4 linked regions of the Caenorhabditis elegans genome follow. The protein of the gene in region 2 interacts with the protein of the main gene of each other region in a pairwise test. Each region holds a gene or a part of one and is shown on either strand. Other genes may lie near its edges. The genes, in order: R03C1.1, unc-101, zip-8 and tufm-2.

What was found.
Region 1: the proteins of unc-101 (region 2) and R03C1.1 interact in a two-hybrid assay, tested with the Caenorhabditis elegans proteins (3 studies listed by BioGRID).
Region 3: the proteins of unc-101 (region 2) and zip-8 interact in a two-hybrid assay, tested with the Caenorhabditis elegans proteins (3 studies listed by BioGRID).
Region 4: the proteins of unc-101 (region 2) and tufm-2 interact in a two-hybrid assay, tested with the Caenorhabditis elegans proteins (3 studies listed by BioGRID).

Annotation. Positions count from the first base shown.
Region 1 is NC_003280.10:14,907,008-14,912,229, forward strand, and holds R03C1.1 (Cell wall protein DAN4), read right to left. Parts: upstream 3,399-5,222; 5' UTR 3,395-3,398; coding exon 3,338-3,394; intron 3,124-3,337; coding exon 3,013-3,123; intron 2,677-3,012; coding exon 2,485-2,676; intron 2,417-2,484; coding exon 2,276-2,416; intron 2,226-2,275; coding exon 2,121-2,225; intron 1,622-2,120; coding exon 1,271-1,621; intron 1,128-1,270; coding exon 1,074-1,127; intron 1,030-1,073; coding exon 802-1,029; intron 670-801; coding exon 592-669; 3' UTR 501-591; downstream 1-500. Other genes in the region: cog-1 (Homeobox domain-containing protein), read left to right, coding at 4-132.
Region 2 is NC_003279.8:12,506,381-12,513,957, reverse strand, and holds unc-101 (AP-1 complex subunit mu-1-I), read right to left. Parts: upstream 5,660-7,577; 5' UTR 5,404-5,659; coding exon 5,362-5,403; intron 5,308-5,361; coding exon 5,151-5,307; intron 4,470-5,150; coding exon 4,271-4,469; intron 3,672-4,270; coding exon 3,400-3,671; intron 3,176-3,399; coding exon 3,046-3,175; intron 2,012-3,045; coding exon 1,642-2,011; intron 1,156-1,641; coding exon 1,057-1,155; 3' UTR 538-1,056; downstream 1-537. Other genes in the region: mter-4 (Mitochondrial transcription termination factor family protein), read right to left, coding at 41-128, 305-439; asah-1 (Acid ceramidase subunit beta), read right to left, coding at 6,447-6,656, 6,868-7,061, 7,225-7,577. UniProt on the Caenorhabditis elegans protein: Component of the adaptor complexes which link clathrin to receptors in coated vesicles. Clathrin-associated protein complexes are believed to interact with the cytoplasmic tails of membrane proteins, leading to their selection and concentration.
Region 3 is NC_003281.10:6,477,153-6,481,775, forward strand, and holds zip-8 (bZIP transcription factor 8), read left to right. Parts: upstream 1-1,808; 5' UTR 1,809-1,826; coding exon 1,827-1,918; intron 1,919-3,082; coding exon 3,083-3,190; coding exon of another isoform or gene 3,191-3,194; exon of another isoform or gene 3,195-3,413; coding exon 3,414-3,603; intron 3,604-3,653; coding exon 3,654-3,794; 3' UTR 3,795-4,091; downstream 4,092-4,623.
Region 4 is NC_003279.8:4,245,934-4,249,951, reverse strand, and holds tufm-2 (protein-synthesizing GTPase), read right to left. Parts: upstream 2,200-4,018; 5' UTR 2,192-2,199; coding exon 1,975-2,191; intron 1,929-1,974; coding exon 1,386-1,928; intron 1,252-1,385; coding exon 692-1,251; 3' UTR 537-691; downstream 1-536. Other genes in the region: cogc-5 (Conserved oligomeric Golgi complex subunit 5), read right to left, coding at 380-453; exoc-7 (Exocyst complex component 7), read left to right, coding at 2,372-2,485, 2,532-2,697, 2,747-3,248, 3,930-4,018.

The sequences.
Region 1 (5,222 bases), on a different chromosome or scaffold from region 2:
CAGGTGTGGTTCCAAAACCGTCGTACAAAATGGCGCAAGAAGGAAGCGGCCGACAATGCACTGGTCAAACGTGGTGCCAGCGGCGACAAGTCTCCTTGCTCACTGAGCCCATTTCTCAGCGCTGGAATTTAGCTTTTAAGCGTTCTACCTCTCCCCCTCCCTTCAACCGAGTGTATTATTCCCCCAATTTGTTTGCAATTTTTTCCTGAAGCCCTTTAAGAAAATCCAAAATCATGACCTTCTTCCGTCTTTACACCTGATTACCTGAATACCAACACCCCACACAGATGCCATGATCTCTCGTCTTTTCTCGTACTTTTGTATAATTTTTTTCTTAATTTTTTTGCATGTTTTCCCATAGTTATAGCCATTTTTTTTTCTTTTTTTTTCCAAATCATCGTCACTTATACAAAAACCAAACTCCCTTTTACCGTTAAACCATGCCCAAATACAAAAAATTTCCCATTTAATTGTACGTTTTTTTCTCTTCAAATTGGATTCTAATGACATAAATTTATTAGATTAAGTAATCGTTGAGGCATATTTACAGATACCAAATATTGTGGGGAACACGAAAAATTAATTAATTATCTATTCGAGTTTCGTTTTGATCGTCTGGAGAACGTTCATGAGCACGTCGAGGGTCGATGGTTGGGTTTCTTCGGCTTTCTGGAAAATTGAAAATGTTTGAAATTTATAAAATTGGCCTAGAAAATGCCTATGTGGCCTAGAAATCCCTTGTGGCACCATGGTCTAGAAACTACGTCAGTGCCTAGATCCCCTAGGAACTCCCCCACCTACCTTGTAACTTCTGAATTTGGACTTCAAGCAGCACACATTCTGAGCACACTGGTCGTATTGTGGAAGGCACGAGCAGGCGGTGGTAGGCACGTTCACGTACATCACACATGTGGTTGTCAGCGGGTATTGGGTGGCCGCGGTGTCGGCATATTGAACCGGGCTTGAGGAAGTTGGCATGGTTGGGGCCTGGGTGGTTGGAGCCTGGGTAGTTGGGACTTGAGTGGTTGGCTGAAAATTGTAAGGGTAAATTCGAAAAATTGAAGGGTTATTACCATTGGTGTCGGGGTGGTCTGAACTGGAGCGTACTCGTAGGTGTCGTATTGAACCTGAAAATGGTCAATTTGCAAAATAGTCGGTGGCGCCGAGCAGCCGACAAATTGCGGGTTCCACCAAACCCCGTGAATTGTCGGCTGCTTGCTTTGAAATGAAAATTCAAGTTTCCATGCTATCATGCCCTCATGCTCTCTACCTGTTGCTGTTGTTGTCCTGGCTGTGGGCACCCACAGTACGCATTTGGTACAGTAACCATCAACGTGGCACAGTTACACCTGCATCCACACCCGGACATGACACTGGTGGTCGGATCAAGACAATAGCACGTCTCTTGTCCGGTGGCCAACTGTCCGATGGCCGGGTATACGGTAGGTGGCTGCGCGGTGTACATGGACGGGTTCAGGAGTTGGGGCGCTTGCGTCAGTGGTGCTGGAGTTGTAGTTGTTGAGGTGGTTGTGGTGGTTGTGGAGGATGGTGCTGGCAGAGTTCCGGGGATCGCTGTCTGGGCACCGTACTCGATGGTTGGGTCCTCGTAGTCGATGGTGTGCTGTGTGGAAGTTTTAGACATGCAAGTTGTGTGGGCACACATGCGGTTTTTATTGGTGGCCTAACTTTTGGTGGCCTTGTTTTCTTAAGAACTTGGTCTTATTTTTGGAAGCCTTTGCTTCTACACTGGCTGGCCTAGTTTTTCTAAAATGATACCCTAACTTTGCTGAACTAGTTTTCCAAAAATTGTGGCCTAACTTTTAGTAACCTAGCTTTCTTGAGATGGTCTAACTTTTGGTGGCCTAGATTCTCTAAGATGCCAAACTATCAGTTGTGAAGAGCAACCAATAGACAAAAGGCTCGGCTGCTTGTACATAACTCTCTAATTTTGATAGATACAAAAAAGTTGCCAACTGGCAAAATACAGCTCATTTTATTTATTTGCTAGCTCTCATGGCTGCAGAGTTATCACGTTTTTAATCTGTGAACAGAAAAATTTCATGCGAAGAAAGTTCATGCACTTTTCAAATAATTTCAAATTTCCAATTCAAAAAATTTACCTGTTGCTGCTGTTGCTGCTGTGGTTGAGCACACTGGCACTGATACTGAGCAGTTTGTGGGCTGGTGATACTGATCATAATGCAGTTGCAAGCCCCATTACTTCCCTAAACGATTCTAAATTCTAATACATCTGGGGGGTGCTGCTGGGATATACCTGTGTCTGAGTTGGCACTTGCGGGTAGGAGACTGGCGATTGTGTAGTTGTAGTGGAAGTTGTGGTTGGGGCTTGGGTGGTTGTGGTGGTAGTGGTGGTGGTGGAGCTTGTGGTTGGAGCCATTGTGGTGGTGGTTGGGAGCTTAGATTTCAGAGTTTTAGATATTCAAAAAATGATTAGAATCCCCCTACACCATCCCAAAAACTAACCGGGTTTCCACTCTGATCTCCGCACTGGCAGTTGTATTGTGGGGCTCCTTGGATGACAATCTGGATGCATCCACAACGGGCTCCGCTCATTCCGGTAGTTTGTTGGGACATTGCGGTGAGCTGATTTGCAATGTCAGCCGACTGGGGAGCATCATATTGGACACCGGATCCGATGGAAGAAGAGGAGCCATCCTAGAAATGATAACTTGTTAGTAAATGTTATCTCGAATCTACAGTGGTGCTACAGTAATCTTTCTAATAGTTCACCTAGTTCTCACATTAGCTAAAGTAGTCTTAAAAACTAGGATGATAAATTCTTTAAATGTTATGGCGCTTCATCAGTAGTGCACACTACCGTTGGAGGTCGACAGGATGCTAGAAAATCGGCTTAACCATACTACAGTAGTCCTAGAAAAAACTTCATCGACAGTACCGTTGCATGTATGAATTAGTAGTACTATATCGATATTAAAATAATTATACTATAGTTAAAAGTAGCACAATAGTCTCTAAAAAACCAAAACTTACAGCTGGTCCCTTTGCACAACTGCACGTGAGTCCACCATTAGGATTCTTGACGCACCGGCATTGCTGACGCTTCGAGCGGACGATGATTGGCTCGTCTGGAGCAGCAAATGTCTGAAAGATTCTTGTTAGTTCAACTCCTCAAACTTTGCGCCATTCAAAAACTATATAGCCATTTTCCGTGAATGCCAATTAGAACAAGAGACCTATTGTGCCCAACTAGTCTGACTCATTTTGCGCAAAGTGCCCAAGTTGAGTCAATAGAGTAGGAACTATTCAATTCACAAGTTGGAAAATAAGCGGGGGGAATCAAGTTTTAGACACTCACCTCGACCAGAAGGGCTCCGATGCACACAAGAATCAACAGGGACGACAGACGGGACATGGTTCTGGAAATTAAATTATTGTGGGGGGTGGAGTAGGGGAATGTATAAAAAACATTGAAAGGACCGGGATTCCCCGGTCCGGGAAGACCGTGTCTTGGAATTCAGTTTGAGCAGGTAATAATGTGTAAGTAGCATAGAATTAGTGAGTTATTGCATTATTGTTGGTCTCAGCAATCTGGAGGACCCTAGTGAATTTTGGAATATTATGTGCTAATTGCAGTATAACATTTATTCAAACCCACAGTCAAACTGTAACACTAAAATGAAACTTATATGCTACTCTTAAGGTATGATATTAGTTTAATAAGTACTATGTATCATTTTAAAATAGCTATTTATAAATATTTACACCTTTGGTAGGTTAAACTGAAAGCTACTGCCAAAATTTTTATAACATGTTATTAATTTAAGGTATGTTCGTTTGATAGTGTTACATATATCTAACAGCAATAAATTTGAAACTACAATTGTTATATGTTACAAACTCTTTTTGATGTATAAAACGTTAGTTGTCAAAACCATATAGTTATAAAAATATAGGTATAGTATATTCTAAAAGTATATATTAATTGGAAGTAGAAGTATGTAGTAATTATTTTTACTACATAAAGTAATTCTTTGAACCTAGTGCTACAAACTTAAAATATGAGTTTATTTTTGAAACTATGTAAGTATTTGAAAATCTAAAAAAATTGTAGTTAGACACTTTCCGGTAACCGATGAATGAAAAGAGAGTGTGAATGATGAGTGATTCCATGAATCTGGATCCATTTTATAGCCACCCCCTGAATCCCAAAAGGCGTGTCCAGGGATGGATGGCAACTTTTTGCGCGCGCTCGCTCGCTACTTCCCACGTGTGGAGCATTTTGCCGCCTCCAATTGTATTGTATTCATCTTTTCTCTTCATTCAACTGTAAACAAGCCGCCGAGCAGCGCGCGGTAAGCGTTTTTCATTCCGCATCGTTTTCTGTATCGAATTACTATGGTGCCAACAACCTAATACTGGTGGCTCCGCCTTTTTGCCAACAAGCTTTTGTATTGTATAGAGCAGTCATATTTGAATGAGGATGCATGCATAGGGGGAAGAAAAAGTTCGAGGGAAAAGTGAGTTTTGTGCTTGGGCACAGGGATCTTCTGTGAGGTCATCAAGTCTAGACATGATATCTTCATGTCAAAGTTGATGGGGATCTAGGATCTAGTTGTTAATTCAATATTTGAAGTTTTGAATTACAGGTTCAATAAGTAACTTAGAAATCAAAATGTTGAGGTTAACTAGTTTCTATATAGCAAACATTTTTTGAACACTGTAGGAATACTACTGGTATATTTAAGATACCTCACAGGCGTCTGTTATGACAAAAATGTTTATAAAATAACTTCAACTCAGTAATTAGAGAGCATGCCAACGAGGAACCCATGAAACTTTGACTCCAGATAAGACATAATAGGGGTGAGCGGCAATTGCAGTTCGGCAAATTTCGCCAAATCGAAAAATTGCCGGTTTGCCGATTTGCTGGAAATCTTCAATTCCGGCAATTTGCCGTTTGCCGGATATTGAGAGGGATTTTTTAGAGACGGAAACTCTTCAAAACTTCCAAAAAAATGTGCAAAATCCTTTTTGCCGAAAATTTCCGGTGAATTCGGCAAATCGCCATTTTGCCGGTTTGCCGATTTGCCGGAAATTTTCAATTCCGATAATTTGCCGATTTGCCGATCTGCCGGAAATTTCAATTCTGGCAATTTGCCGATCTGCCGGACTGATATCTTTGTACCCAACGCTGATCCTGAAAAAAACTAAAACGACGGTGGTCTGGATATTTTTAATTT
Region 2 (7,577 bases):
TTTTTCAAATTTTTCACTAAAAAAAATTAGCAAAACCTACCATTTTCCAAAAGTTTTTCGAAAACTTTTGCCGATTCCTGTCTGGCAAAGGAATCTCGACCGGGAATCACAAAATGTGTGCCAGTTTTCTGGAAAAAATTGAATTAGAGTTGGAAATTTGAATTTCCCGCTAATGCAAATGCGCTCCAATGCAAAAAAAAGTCCAAAATTAGGGCAAAAATTCAAATTTCGCGCCATAAAAGCGTGATGCAAGTGTGCCCCAATGCTAAATCTTCAAAATTTTCAAATTCCCGCTTTGCCGAACCTTCAAATCGTCCACAATTCGATCCATCAACGCATTTGGCGCAAAAGTCCGCAAAGTGTCGTCAGATGTGGTGCATTGACGCGAAAATGCAGAAATTCGCAAATTTCGACGAAAAATCGGCAACAATCGGCGCATTTTCTGGCAATTTTTTGCATTTTTTTCAGTGATTTTTCTGGAAATTTAGACAATTTTTGAAATGGAATTTTTAGCCCCCGGAAAACATTTTGTAAACAATTATGACAGAAAATTTATTGATTTACTGAAAAAAGGAAAACGGGAAAAATTGATGAGGATCCATGTGGTGAGAAAATTATGCTGGTGGGAAAGGGAAAAAACTCGTTTTTCTGGAAAAAATCTAAATTATGCGATAAAAATCAATAAATAAATCGGTGGGAAAAATAAAATAAAAATTTTCGAACAAAAAAAAATAGAGTTCGGGGTCATCAGGGGAAAGAGCACACACAACACATGTTTTGAGCCGGGGAGCAGCTCGCGGAGCATTAAATTTTCACAGAAAAAATTGGAGATGTTTGACATTAAAAGAGGCAAAAATTGATGGAAAACGGGGCCGTGGCCTAGGATTTTCGAAAAGTTAGGCCACCACTGGAAGCATGGTGGCCTAGACCTCCAAATTTTCCAAAAACTCGGCCACGGTCGTTTTTCACCAATTTTTCATAAAAAATTCCAAAAATTAAGAGTAAAATTGGGAATAAAATACAATAAAATATGAATTTAGGTAATTTTTTCAGGAATTATTTCATCCGCATCTCGTATTCTCCATTTTGAGTAATGTAGCGGACCCACGGCAATGCTTGATATCCACTTTTCTCGATGATTTTCAGATAACGGACCTGAAAATTTGAAAATTAGGGTTTACTTGGTGGAATTTATGGGAAAAATTGAATTTTCAAGCCTTTTTTTTAGAAGATTTTATCACCCTTAAACACCAAAAAATCACATAATTCTCAATTTTGAGCCGTTTTCTCCGTGGAGCGCACTTGCAATATGTGGTAGGCGGGAAATTTGAATTTTTGAGTTAAAAAGTCAAATGTTAGGTTTTTTCGAGAAATTTGCATCATCTTGACGCAAAAAAATCACAAAAATCTGCATTTTGAGCAGTTTTATCCGTGGAGCGCGCTTGCAACATGCGGTCGGCGGGAAATTCAAATAATCTAGTTGAAAAGTCGGATTTTTAAATAATATCATGTGTTTAAATGAAATTTTCAGCATTTTAGAGCGAAAAAATTACATAAATCTCAAAATTGGGCAGTTTTTGGCGGTGGGAAATTTGAATTTTTGAGCTAAAAAGTCGAATTTTAAGCGAAAAATTCGGCTACCTGAATGCCGCTGGTCGTAAAATACGGAATTTCAAATTTGACTTTAATCGGCGGCCGTCCTTCAGACTCTTCACTCATCACAGACGGTAGAGATAGATGGGCGGTCAAAAGGTACTCTTTTCCGCCGGGAAAATTCTTAATAGTCCATACGAAGGCCGATTGCTCGGGCGTATACTTCACCGAACCGATGCTTGTCTTGAATTTCGGTGAATCAGCGTCCGACGGGACTGGAATAATGATTTCCACGTTATTAGCAGTGGAGCGCCGTTTGAATTGTGATTTCGCTTTGATTATAAACGAGACACGGCTGTGACTGTGACGTTCGATGCTTGTCTCGATCCAGATCAGCGGCTTCACCACGGTTGTTAATCTGAAAAAAAACGGTATTTTTCGAGAATTTTCAGGAAAAATTGGAGCTTTTTGAGGTAAAAATCGAGTTTTTCGACACAAAATTGAGGCATGGCCTGACTTTTTACCTGAAAACCTAGGCCACGCATGTAAATTTGCTTTTTTTTTATTTTTCAGTGTTTTCAAGCTAAATTTGGCCTAGTGATCAACTTTTTAGACTCAAAATTAAGGTGTGGCCTAATTTTCTACCCGAAAACCTAGGCCGCAGGTGTATTTGACTTATTTTTTAAGAAAAACCAACAATTTTGATCCAGACACACAGTTTTCAGCAAAAAATAGAGTTCGGCAACGAACTGATCAGTGGTGGCCTAACTTTTGCGAGAAACTAGGCCACGAGTGGAAATTTGCATGTTACGTGTTCCATTTGTTACAGTTTTAACGTGTTTTTACAGAAAAATCGAGCTATTGTAGTAAAGAAGCCGAGTTTTTAGCCAAAAAATAGAGTTCGGCCATGAATTGGCCAGTGGTGGCCTAACTTTCTTGTAAAATCTAGGCCACGTATGCAAATTTGTATTTTTCTAGAATTTTTCATGTTACTGAGCTCTTCTTCGTCTGAATAACGAGTTTTTTGACCTAAAAGAACCCAAAAACAGGAATCGGCCTTTGGTGGCCTAGTTTTTTCCGGAAAACCCTAGGCCACGTAAGCAAATTTGTATTTTCTACACCTTATAATTGTTTTTCGAGCGTTTTTGGCATAAAAAAGCAGAAATTAACTCGAAATTACAACTCGGCCACGAACTAGGCTATGGTGGCCTAACTTCCAAAAAACCTAGGCCACGTGGGTAAATTGGCATTTCCTAGGATTTTCTGGCATTTTCAGCTTTCAAATCGAGTATTTAAGCCAAAAAATAGACAAAATCAAACTTCGGCCACAGATTAGAAGTCGGTGGCCTAACTTTTCGAAAAAACTAGGCCACATCACTGAATTTCCGTCAAAATCATGCGAAAAACTCGATTTTTCGGTTAAAAATCCGATTTTCTCCACTTTTTTCGTACCGATAGCTCATAAGCTCAAATGCTCCGTCGGGCGGTATGAAGGAGATCGTTCGATCCGTGTCAAAACGCGACAGGCGTACACATTGATGAAATTTCACGTCTTCCAGTTCCACAGATTTGCTTTTTCCGCCTGAAAATCGAGAATTATCAATGGGGCGCGATTGTAGCGGTAGGAAGTTTGAATTTCAAGTTGCAAACGCGCTCCATTGCAAAAATTTAAAAAAAGTCGCATTGGAGCGCAATTGAAAAACGCTAAAAACTTTAAAATTGTTGAATTTTAACAAAATTTTATCGATTTTAGGGTAAAATTGCCTGAAAAATCTCAATTTTCGCATAAAATTCGAAAAAACTCACGTCCACTGCCCTCAAAAAGTACTTTATCGTTAAGACCCAGCCGAAGTTCAGGCATTCCGGTAAGATAGACACGCATTTTAACGCTTCCAACAATTTCCGATTGAAGTACGGTACCGTTGGCGCTGGCCAACATGTTCACACTTTCGATTACGTCCAGGAAAACCTCGTTTTTTCGGTATTTTATGCCTTCAGAGCGCCATGAGACGGCATTTGTCACTGCCATCGGGGGACGGGGTGCCGAAATTAGTTTTTGACCTTCTTGTGTGATGTATCTGCAAAAAATTGGGGGGTTTTTTGATTGAAAATTGAGGAAAAATCGATGATAATTTTGCACAAAAATTCAAATTTTCGAGTCGAAAAACACATTTTGAACAGGAAAATTGCGCTCCAATGTGAACTTTTGCGATTTTTGCATTGAAGCGCGTTTGCTGCATGTTGAATGCGAGAAAATTGAAATTTTCAATGAAAATTCAAATTTCCCAGCTGCAACCGCGCTACAGTGCAAATAATCGCAGTGGAGCGCGTTTGCAAATAGAAATTCAAATTTTCGAGACAAAAGACACATTTTGAACAGGAAAATTTGAATTTTTGAATTCCCCGCCACTGCAAATGCGCTCCAATGTAAATTTTTTGCGATTTTTGCATTAGAGCGCATTTGTGATTGGAAATTCAAAATTTTAGGGTCGAAAATACATATTTTGACCCAAAATTTAAAATTACTGCTATCGCGCGCTGCAAATGCGCTCCAACGCTAATATTTGGCTATTTTCGCATTGGAGCGCATTTGCAGCAGAAAATGAAACGATTTTTCGTGCGGGAAATTCGAATTTTTGAGTAATTTTTTTCAATTTTTCTCGTTTTTCCTCCTTACTCTTGTAGAATTCGACTCTCAGTCGTCTGTGGGAACCCGAAATCCATCATTTCGTCCAAAAGTTCATAGATAACGACAAAATTGTCGCGAACCGACTCCTCTTCGACATCTTTGAAATATTCGGAGAAAACTTCGACGCATTTGTACAAAAATGACAAAATCATTGTGACGTTGACGTTTGAACGGCATGCTGAGACCACTGAAATGAGGGAAATTTGAATTTTTGACTGGAAATTCTGGAGAAAATGACTGAAAATCCGTTAAAAATGGGTGTTTTATCATTGGAGCGCGCTTGCACCCGCTGTCGGCGGGAAAATTTCCGGAAATTTACAATTCTGGCTCAAAAATCGTGAAAATATGTCGAAAAAGTGTGAAAAATGACGAATTTTTCGCAATTTATCGACTTTCTGGCAGAAAAGCTTGATTTTTGAAACAATTTTGCTCCTTTTTTAAGATTTTTACCACATTTCAAATAAACTACAAAATGGAAAAATTACGAAAATCGCAGTTTTATTGATTTTAGTCAATTTTTACGAATATTCGGCTTTTTTTGAATTTTAGCACTCGGGAATTCAGAAAATCAAGGAATTTTTGAATTTTTCTGACTTTAAAATCAAAAAATTGAATTTTTTTGGGTTTTCCGTTATTTTCAAGGGATTTTGTTACTTTTCACTGTTTTTCAACTCATTTTTTAGTTTTAAAACGTTATTTTCAATTTGAAAATGTTAAAAACCACAAAAAATTGCACTTTTTATCGGTTTTTGGCTTGAAAATTCAAATTTCTGACCAATTGCGTCATTTTCAACGGATTTTCTTCAATTTTGCCATTTTTCTATCTAATTTTTGATTTTAAATTCAATTTTTCACACAAAAAACCCACAATAAATATTTGTGTGCTTGATAAACACGAAATTCGTGTCCTGATAGGTCAAAACGGGCGCTGCCGAGCCTTCTTCCTCTTTTTCCATGAGTAAATGAATGAATTTATCGATTGCCGTCATGTCGATGTCTCCGCGATAATTTCGAGAAATTATCGTCTGAAAAATGCGAAAATTGGCATTTTCCGACGTGAAAAACACTAAAAAACTCACTTTTCCCTTCAAATCCAGTATAAACATGGCGGAAGTCGCCATTTTCGACGATTTTTTGCGATTTTCTCGTTAAAATCGTCAAATTCCACGTGGCAGCTACTGGAAAATACTGAAAATCCGGAGAAAATTAGCGGAAAACGGAGGAAAATCGAAGAAAATGAGTGCAAAGATGGATATCGGCTGCTGGCGGGCACGCCCTCTTGCAGTCTGCAGTCTCTTCACTTTATATACTCTCTCGGCGAGTGACGGAGCGGCAGCAGCGGTGCAGGAGGCCTTGGAGACGGATTAATTGGATGGAAAAGGTGGAGAATTTGGTTTATAGCGGTTTTTTCGCGAAAAAATGGAGAAAAATACCGAATTTTGCAAAAAATCGACTTTTTCGTCGGAAAAGTGCAAAAAATTAAGTGAAAATCGACGAAAATCGGTTAAAATTCTATTTTAAAAATTCAAAACTGAAACCAAGGGAGCAAAATTTAGGTGTGCGCCTTTAAAACTACCGTACCTTATTTTATTGGACAATAATGACAAAAACTGGCAATTTCCGCCAGAAAATTGAATTGAATAATTTGAAAATTGAATTGAAATAAAAAAAATTTGTGTAAAAATACTGGAAAATCAGTTTAAATTCATTTTTCTAGTAGAAAATTCCACAAAACCACCAATCGCTACGAGACTCAGAAGAAATATTTAGGCATGCGCCTTTAAATCTACCGTATCCCATTTTTAATAAAATTGTGACGAAATTTGAATTTCAGGAGGAAAACTTGGTTAGAAACGAAAAAACGACGAAAAACCATAAAATTAGCAAACAATTATTTTTTAAATGTAAAATTCCACAAAAAGCAATAACTTTGGTAACCTCGATAAGTTTCGGTGCATGCGCCTTTAAATCTACCGTAACTCATTATTTTTTTCCAGCGGGAAAATTAAAATTTTTAATTTTTGTTTAAAAAAAACCAAAAAACTCTAAAATTTTTAAATTTTATGAAAATTTCGTTTTCAAACAAGAACCCATCAAAGTTTATTTACAAAAATGAAAGTTTATTTCAATGAATCATTGCGTATATGAGAATGTTGAATCCAATCTACCATGGATAGCATTCTCCCGGGCAGGATTGAAGGATGGTCTCGAAGCGAGAAGTCTCGACGGACATGAGGACGGTGTAGGTGGTGAGCTTATTCAGGTTGGTGCGGGATGACAAGACGTTGAAGATTCCCTCGAATCCGACGTTCTTCTGGGTCAACTTGTCCATGCAACGGAATCCCGGAGTGTCACGGTCGTCAAGGTAGAGGTCCTGGAAGAGGGAAATGTTGGATAAGTTAATTCCGGATAGGTTTTGACAGATTTTTGATCAAAATTTCTAGCTAGGAGTTCGACCCACTCAAAAAAAGAAGCTGGGTTCAAAATACTAGACCTAGGCCTAGAGAAGGACCTCTCCTAAAAGTTGGGCCCCTAGATCCGTCTACCAGAACCTACTCTACACCTTCAACTCTAGCATCTCTCACCTCGGTTCCCTGATCGTAGTTGGTCTCCAACAGGTACCATCCGTGTGGGGATGTGGCCATCTCGGTGAGAAGTGCGGTCTTGTCGAGACTTCTAGCGATGATGCATCCCTCGTCCTTCTTGGATCCTCCGAGAATGAAGTAGACTGGTGAGAGCATTGGAGTGTTCATCAAGTGCTCCTTGGCGTCGAGGTAGGCTGAAAGCTCGGGATATAGAGCCTTTATGGATCTCAGACGGATCTAGCCCAATGGATATTAGAAGCAAAGATTAGGGACACTTGAATCTAAGCCTAAGCTTCCTGGAAATCAAAGCTTCCGAATTCTAAGGATCTAAGTCATCAAGAAAACAATTCAACTCACTGGTCTTAGTCTCGAGGGTCTCTCTTGCCAACCAGGACATCCATTTTCCGTCGGCCTCCAATCCGAACACCCACTTGAGAATACCGTAGTATCCTCCGACAAGCTGGAATCGATCGTCAGCAGTCAAGGAGAAGGCGTTTGGCTTGAGACCGTTGTAGATTCCAATGTATCCGGCAAAGTTGTTCGACTTGTACAACAGCTTTCCGTCCTTGAGCCAGTTGACGTTGATGATCATCTTACGAAGCTTTTGCGAGATTTGCCAGTCGTGAAGAACTGGGTCCCATCCCATGAAGAGTCCGAAATCGAGGTTTCTGGCGTGGAAAACGTGGCCGTCCTTGTCCTGAGCGATGACC
Region 3 (4,623 bases), on a different chromosome or scaffold from region 2:
AACTGAAATTGTTTTTTTTTCAATTTAATATGTTTCTATATTTTGAAACTAAATGCTAATAAAGTTAATCAAATATTACAGGAACACTCAATCCACGAAAAAACTTCCGCAATTTTCAACATACTTGATATTTCACCTTATTCTATGTTTATCCATGCAACACCTATTGCATTGTTATTTTCCTTATAACAAATTGATACGCACTGCGCAACATGACCAGATTAGTCGAGGTTATAGTATCACGCAATACTTACCAATTTTATTTGTTGGCTTTCACGGAATATGGGGGAAATGTGGGAAAGGCTGGTGAATTGATAGATGGATAATAACGGATATATAAGAAAATTACATAGTGGCAAAAAGTAAGCGACATTTGGCGTTGTCAAATCAAAACTCGAAAGACAAGAAAACATTTCTGAAACGCCAAATATAGAGTAGTGAATACAATTCAATACTTTACCTTCAAAATGATAAAATTCAGACAACAGTCAAAGTTTCCAAGTAAAAAACACACAGTCAATCCAAAAACAGAAAGGAGGAGAAACATTTGTCGTCTACAAATACAGACTGTCTACCAAAAGTAGACATCGATGGTTATAGAACAACCTTCCCAAAAATTAAGGTTTGTGCACTCACAATTATATTGATTGGGCAGGATGGGGAATCGAACCTGAATTGAACTACAGGTGTTTTTTGACATTTTAGGAAGGTGAGACGAAAAAGGTGACCACATGGAATTAAACTGTCAGAAGAACAAATTGTGTTTGTTCATTGTAAGTTAACAGATGAAGAGCTTTGAAAACTGCATAAAAATGTGAGCTTTGAAACATTTGAAATTAAAATTAGAAAACGTTATGATAAATGTATTTTAAAAAGGAGAGAAGAATTGATCAAAGATTCCCTGCAAACTCGAATTTAATTTATTGGAACTCAAAATGTTACTCAATGAATACTAAAGACTCTTATTGTAATCAATTCTTATATTCGTAAAACTTATTCTGTAATATTTGTACAAAAACTAATATTTAAAAGTTTTTACACAAAATAGATATTTAAAAGTTGAAAAAAAAATCAGAAAAGATGGATTAATATCTAGCAACTATTTTTAAAGTCATGGTTCATCTTCTTAAAATCTGAAAATTTCAGACTACTTTCCAGGGAATTTTGTTCGCGCCACTCATTTTACCAAAATGTTTCCTTTGGGAATACTAATCTATAAAACATTTCTCACTTAAACTGTCATTAACTAGATTTCCAAAGAAACATTGGTAATTGACAGACTTGGAAAAACATTACGCAATCGATATGCAACGTTTTCCACGTAATTCTATGACTGTTTTTAATATCTAAAACACCATTAATCCCACTAAGTTTAGATGATATTTGTACAAAAGTTGACGCAAATCTATCTGAGAACTTCCAACCCTTTCAGTCTCTTTTCCCTCACTTCTCTCTATGCAAGAAACATCAACGGTCCATTGTTTTCCGTGTAGTAGGTCATATGTTCTCCTGCTCTCCCGTTCCAGATAGACCCGATAGATACTGTGAGAGTTCCCAGCGGGTGTTCTCTGCGCTCTCCAGAACTCCTATGCACTCTCCCAAAACTTCTCGGGTGGGCGGAGTCGAGGCCACCCCGCCAGCACCCGACGTTGCATCACACCTGACTCTTTTCTAGATCGGCGACGGTCGGTTACGTAACCAGCTCTCTGGGAAGTGTTTTCACCTTTTCCTTGTTTTTCTTTTTCGTTGCATGGCTTTCTGAATTTCTTTTGGGAAGAAGATAGTACTCAAACTTTCTATAATTTCAGCTAACAACGTCCAACAATATGAGCAACACCATGCAAGGAGCACACTACCCGCAAATGGCATTCGATCCAACATGGCAAATGCATCCAGCGTACGCAACTGCAACTGCTTTGTGAGTCTAAATATGTATATATTTAGAATTTTTGAGATTATTGTAGTTGTTTTCGGTTTTTTAAATTTTGTGTCAAGTATTTTCTTCTGCAAAACAAAAGACAGTAGAGACCATCTCGCACTGCCACATCGTCCGTTGTCCCCGTCATGTGCTCATGGCGAGATGGCCTAGATTACAGCCGTTCTGGATTGGTCGGTTTGGCTATAGAGGTCAACATGTTGTAAAACGTTTGGAAAATGTTCAAAGTTTGGCCATTCAAAATATACGGAAAATGTGAACAATATACTACTCACATTATAGCTAGTGTAAAAACTTTTGTAGCATAGTTTTTTCTACAGTCTTTCGTTTCAGTTATCAAAATTCAGTACATGACTCTACAATTTTCTACTATACCTTTTTTTTTCTGTAATTTGAAAAACACTCTAGCTGCAAGAGCTCAAAATTGGAATAGATGCCGTTACATCACCAAATTACTATAGAGGATCTTAGCCAGTAGATAGAGTAAAAGACGCACATTCGACTGAGCTATTAAATTGCCACGTGGCAAGGGGCAACTGCCACGACAGACTGTCTTCAAGGTGTTCCATGAGCCGACACAGACAGATGGTCAATATGCGCTAAATATGACATTTTTGCACATAATTATAGGTATTGGGGTAGGCAACCGGTTGTGGAGTGCCTGATATCTGATGCTAGATTTTAAATTTAGATTTCAGTATGATCTTCCCTCTAATAATAGAAACTATCTTTGTTTATACGTGTGCAACCACGATAGTTTAGGTGAAGATGCCACAGGGTTTTTGAATAGTTTAATTTGCAAGCAAAGTGTTGATAAACAATTTAATATTTATTTTACACTGCGAAATTGGTTGGTGGTATCATCCAAAAATGATGTTTTTTCGATACAAATCATATTGTGATTTTAAAAAATGTGGAAGATTTCTGAATTGTTTAGAAATGCTTTCCTTAATGGTAATCAGAACGTCAGATTTAAAACAATTCAGAAATCTTCCTTTTTTTAACTCAGGAAATTGATATGTATTGACAAAAAACCACCCTGATACCAGAACCACCATAAATATCCCCAGATAACCGATAGTGCTCCTCTTTTGTAGAAATTTGTAAAATATTTTGTAGAATAAATGTGGAAATTTCAATTTTCAGTAATCCATACAATGTATCATTCGACTTCACACGCTCTCCAAATACCTCCGGCGGATCCGATGAATCAATGAGTGATGGCAGCAAGATCGACCCAAAACGATCTCCAAAGTAAGTTTTACCTCGGAATTCAGATGGGGAGGGTGCCTTGAAGAAAGGTTACTCATAGGAACATTGGGATGAGAATGGGAGGATGGGGGAGGGGGTGTTACATTATTTTCAGATTCTTCAACAACAACATTGCAAAGACACGTGCCAATCGACTCTCCAGACGATCCACGATCCGCCAAGGATTACTTTTAGAGTTTCAAAAAACTTGATATTTTTTCTTCAGATATCTTGAAAAGCGTATGAAGAATAATGAGGCTGCAAAGAAGTCACGAGCCTCCAGAAAACATCGAGAGCAGAAGAATCAGACAGAGAATGAGTTACTCAAAAGGAAAAACGCAGCATTAGAGGAAGAACTGAAGCAAGCAAAATGTGAATTGGCTCAGATGCAAATCACGATCCGAGATATGTCTATCGTAAGAGAAATAAAGCTCACTATGCACCTCAAAAGCTAATAATTTTTCAGGAACGAGAAGCATACCGCCGAGAGAACGAAATGCTGAAAATGGTGAACAACAAATTTGCGGACTCAAAATTCGAACCTCCGCAACCACTTCGTGATATGACCAACTGCAACCTGCCATACAAATACGAACTTCTCTCTTAAATTTATTTCATTCCCTCTATTGAGAAATTTCATGTATATTTTTGTGTCCCAATTCCCAGTTAAGTAGGTATCGGTTTTATGGTCTTCTGAGAGTTGTGGCTATTCTTATTTTTGTTTTTTGAAATTCTTGACATATAAATCTAGGATAACACCAGGAAAATGATGAGAAGGTCTCAATGGAGAACACCTTCTGATTCCTGAATGGGGATTTTTAGATAAGTTTACATAATAATAAGGAATATTCTTAACCTTACTGTCTAATACTGCATGTCTAATAAATTGCATATAAGTACAAAAGTCTACAGTTGTTTTGATTTTATTACAAGTGGGCATGTGGAAAGAGTGAGGGCCTCGAGGACATGGGAATGTTTTGGTAACCTTGATTTCACTGGAACAATTAAAAGGGGAAAGTTAAGGCTGCTAATTCACGCCCTGGTACCATGGTTCAGACAAAAATTTAAAATGTTTAAATCATATCTGCAGATTTTTCTCAAAATTATAAAACCCGATACTCAAACTGTTCTATTGATGATATTAGAGGTTACAATCGAAAATTTAGGATACGTTTAGCTATTTCTCAAAACTCTGAACCGCCAGAAATAGAAAAAAGCTTTTTCTAAAGCGTTCATGAAAAACCTTTTATCGTACTTCCACATTTCTTCAAATATTCACTAAACTTTTTCAGGTAAAATTTTATTTAAAATTGGCCAGTGCCTGAAAAAAGGAAGTTTTGACAATCTTCTGGGTAGTCACAACATTGCAAAAAACATTTGTCCGACATTTGTTTAATCTGAAAAGTCGGTTGAAATTTCTAATATTTTATTTTGTG
Region 4 (4,018 bases), 8.3 Mb from region 2:
AAGTCAATTGAAATAACAACTTTTGCAAACATTTTTGATTTGATTTTTTATTAATATAATGTAACACTACAGTTATGTTTTTTAAAAATTTCTCTACTGGCGGTACTCCATCTTTCGACAAAGTGTGCGCCTTTAAAGAATACTGTAATTTAAAACTTTCGATGCTGCGAAGTTTTTATCGATTTTTCATAGTTTTTCTTACGATTTGTTAAAGTTTATGTTGTTCTATTTTAGTTTTTAAAAAATAAATAAATGAATATACTTTTTGCAAAAAACTATGAAGAATCGACGCTACAGTACTCTTTAAAGGCGCGTACCATTTTTCATTAAACAAAAATTGTCGTGTCGAGACCCAAATCCACAAAATTTGGCGACTTACTTTTTCAAGTAATCCTTAACATCAGTTTTTCCCCAGAGGAAGTCGTCGAGCTGTTCGTCGACTCTCCCCGACATTTTAAACTGGAATTAAAAAATAAATTATTATTTAATACGAAAATTAAAAATAAAGATATTAATGAGCAGATCAGGTAAAACTGCTATTAATAGGAGAATGGTATTATTTGAACAATAAAAGTAGTGAAATATTATTCGAAGATTTCGACAAAAGAAAACAAAAACAAAACAAGATATAGTAGTTAACAAGCTAATAAAATCTAACCTAAAATAAATCAATACTGTAATATATAAAGAACTACATCTTTTCAGCGGACTTTTTAAGATTATGTTTCTCTACAGCCACATGATCCTCTAGATCTGAGATGATTCCTCTAGCGATCGTTGTTTTACTGCTTCCTTCTCTCAATGTAAACGGCATTCCTTTTCTGAGTGGCATGTCTTTCATCAAGAGTACTGTAGCAGAAGTATGTTCTCCTGGCATCAGAAGCTCATTGCTCATATCGAAACGACCAACTTGATCCCAAGTACTGCAGTACATTTTGTCTGTGAAACCAGTCCGAATTCCGATCTTCCTGCCATTTTCAGCCTCCGAGAGAAGATAAAGTTCCACTTTCACTCGATTCGTAATTGTTACTGCTCCTGGATGTCCTGCCCACATTCCTCTCTTCACTGTATCCCCTTTAACTCCTCTACACAGAACTCCACAATGATCTCCAGCACGAACTTCCTTCACACTTTTGCCAAAAACTTGGATATCCGAAGCAGTCGTTTGAAGAGTTTGCCCGTCTCCTTTGATTTCAACTTTATCGCCTTTTTTCAAGACACCTCTTTCCAGTGTACCGACGATGACTGTTCCTGAAAAACATTTTAAATTGGTTTTTTTTTAAATATTAGGGGTGGCAAAAAATGTCATTTATTGAAATTTCTTGCACTTTTTCTTGCAAAATAAATTCTTGATTGGCACACCTTATATTTCTTTTTTCAATTACCTCGCCCAGTGATAGCAGTTTTCGATGCAATTGGCATTACAAAAGTATCCTTTTCATTTCTATCCGGCTCTGGAAGTGAATCCAATGCATCAATCAATCTCTCGATACACGAAATATCTTGTCCTTCTAGAGCACTTAAAGCGGAACCTCGAATAACTGGAGTCGCATCTCCATTAAAGCCATGCAGACTCAACAATTCCCGTGCTTCCATTTCTACCAAATCCAGATCATCTTCTTCAACCAAATCCGCTTTATTGATGAAAATCGCCATATTTTTAACACCAACTTGCTTGGCTAGAATCAAATGTTCTTTGGTTTGCTCCATGACTCCGTCGGTTGCAGCAATCACAAGAACAGCCACGTCCATTTGTGAAGTTCCGCAAATCATATTTTTGATGAAATCCGAGTGACCGGGGCAATCAGTGTGGGAATATCGACGCAGAGGACTTTCATAGCCGATATGAGCGACATTGATTGTAATTCCACGTTTCTTTTCTTCTTTTCCCTTATCGATTTCGTCAAATTTAATATGCTTCGCAAAACCTGCAGAATTGAATTCATTTGTGAATAATATAAAAATTAATTAAACCTTTTTTAGCCTGAACTCTTGTGATTGCTGATGTTAGAGTTGTTTTCCCGTGATCGATGTGTCCAATAGTTCCCACATTTACATTGATTTTTGGCGTAGCAGCTGCAGTGGCAAAGAAAGCGACGGCATTTCGTGTGATTGAATTACAAAATGAAGATGTTGAGCATCGATTGAATAGTAGAGATCGTGTGAATGCCGACAAAGCAGCGGGGTTCATTTTACCTATAACACCGAGAAATTCATGTTATAATAAAATCGGTTATAACAATTTTAGTAACTTTGAAACCATAGAAACCTGGAACCTGAATTTAATTTAAAAAATTCCAAAAATTGCGTGGCAACTCATTTTGTCCTCGAGGAGTACGCGGCCGCGTGGCCTAGGAAGTAACTAGGTCACATGTTGGTTGTTTATTATTTTTATTGTTTTCCATTTTTCTCTGTCAATTCTCGAATATTTCCAATGGCAAGTGATCAAAATGCTGCCGAATCGATAGCCAAAAAACTAGCTCAGGTTTGTTTTTGCTGAAAAAGAAGATTGATCATTTAAATCATTTCAGGAGGAAGAATGGCTACAGAATTTTCAAAAGAACATCGCGAAAAGCGCGCAGATACGACAAGGAATCGAACAAGTTGTTGAAAAGTTTGATCAGAGATTGAGCTCTCTTGAAAAGAATGTGCTCCCGATGCATATTTCGAACGGGAAATTGCAAAAGAAACAGCATAGTATGTCAATTTGGCAGTTTTCTTTTAAAAAAAAGAAGATATTTTCCAGATATCCAACGTCTCATCAATACAATTGACGCTACTCTTCAATTTTACGGAAAAACTAGCACTGTTGAGAATGCAATAAATAGTGGAAATCCGTCCGTCGATCTCGACCCTTATCTCGAAAATATGGAAAGTCTGCAGCAAGCAATCATATTTTTCGAAACCCATCCAAATTATCGAAGTCAAACGGATAATATGAGAATCACACTGGACACTGGATATACAATGCTTGAAAAAGCTTACAAGAATTTTCTTCTGAAGAATAGTATTACCGTGGATCCGGCACCTTTTGTAAAAAATGAATTGACACCCAGATTGAGTGAAATCAAAATTATGACCGATGAAGAACCGATAATCAAAATTGGAGTTTGGCTCCTGAAGCAGCCACGTGTTCCTAATAATTTTCTGGGTTATTACTCTGAAATTCGTGGAGCACAAATTTTGAAGAATATCAAGAGCATCGCAGAAGCACAGAAATCATCGCAACTTGCTTCCAGAAGTAAATTGTAAGATTGAGTGTTTTTGTGTGCGCCAGTCATACAGTACCCGGTCTCGACACATTTCTGATAAAAAACAAAAAAGATGTGTACCTTTAAAAATGAATGTAATTTCAAACTTTCATAGTTTTCGATTAAAAAAAAGTACTTTTTTAATTGAAAAAAGCTTCAGAAAAGCTTTTAAAAAATTAAAAAACTTAAATTTCGACAGATCGGACTGATACAAACGATAACAAAATCGATGAACATTTTCGGAACTAGAGTTTGAAATTACAGTAATCCTCCAAGGCGCATAATTTTTCACAATTTGTCGTGTTGAGGCCGGTATTTTTGACGCAAATTTTCACATCTCGATAAAGAACACGGCTGTTGGAAAAAAAAGTGTTTTTGACCAAAATAAAAAAATTGAAATTTGCGAAAAACCAAAAAAAAAAGCCAAAAAAAATTGATGCCTGTTAAAAAAAAAACCAAGAAAGAATGAAATTTTTTTTTGAATTTTTAGTCTTAATAACCAAAAAAAAAATAAATTTTTCTTAAAAATTCAAAAACAATGTCTCAGCCCTGGTCTGAAAAACTGAAAAATCGAAATAAAAGTTATTAGAAAATTAACAAAAATTCCAGCTATTTCTCGATAAATCGAAAACCAAATATTTTCAATTTCTCAAAAATTCAAAAAAACATTTTTTTTAGATCCACAGCAGTCCGCAAGCCCGTCCAGCGATCCGAAAAAGTAGATGTCCTAATTGATTTGGATGCGTGTCATGCCATGTGCTCTGCAC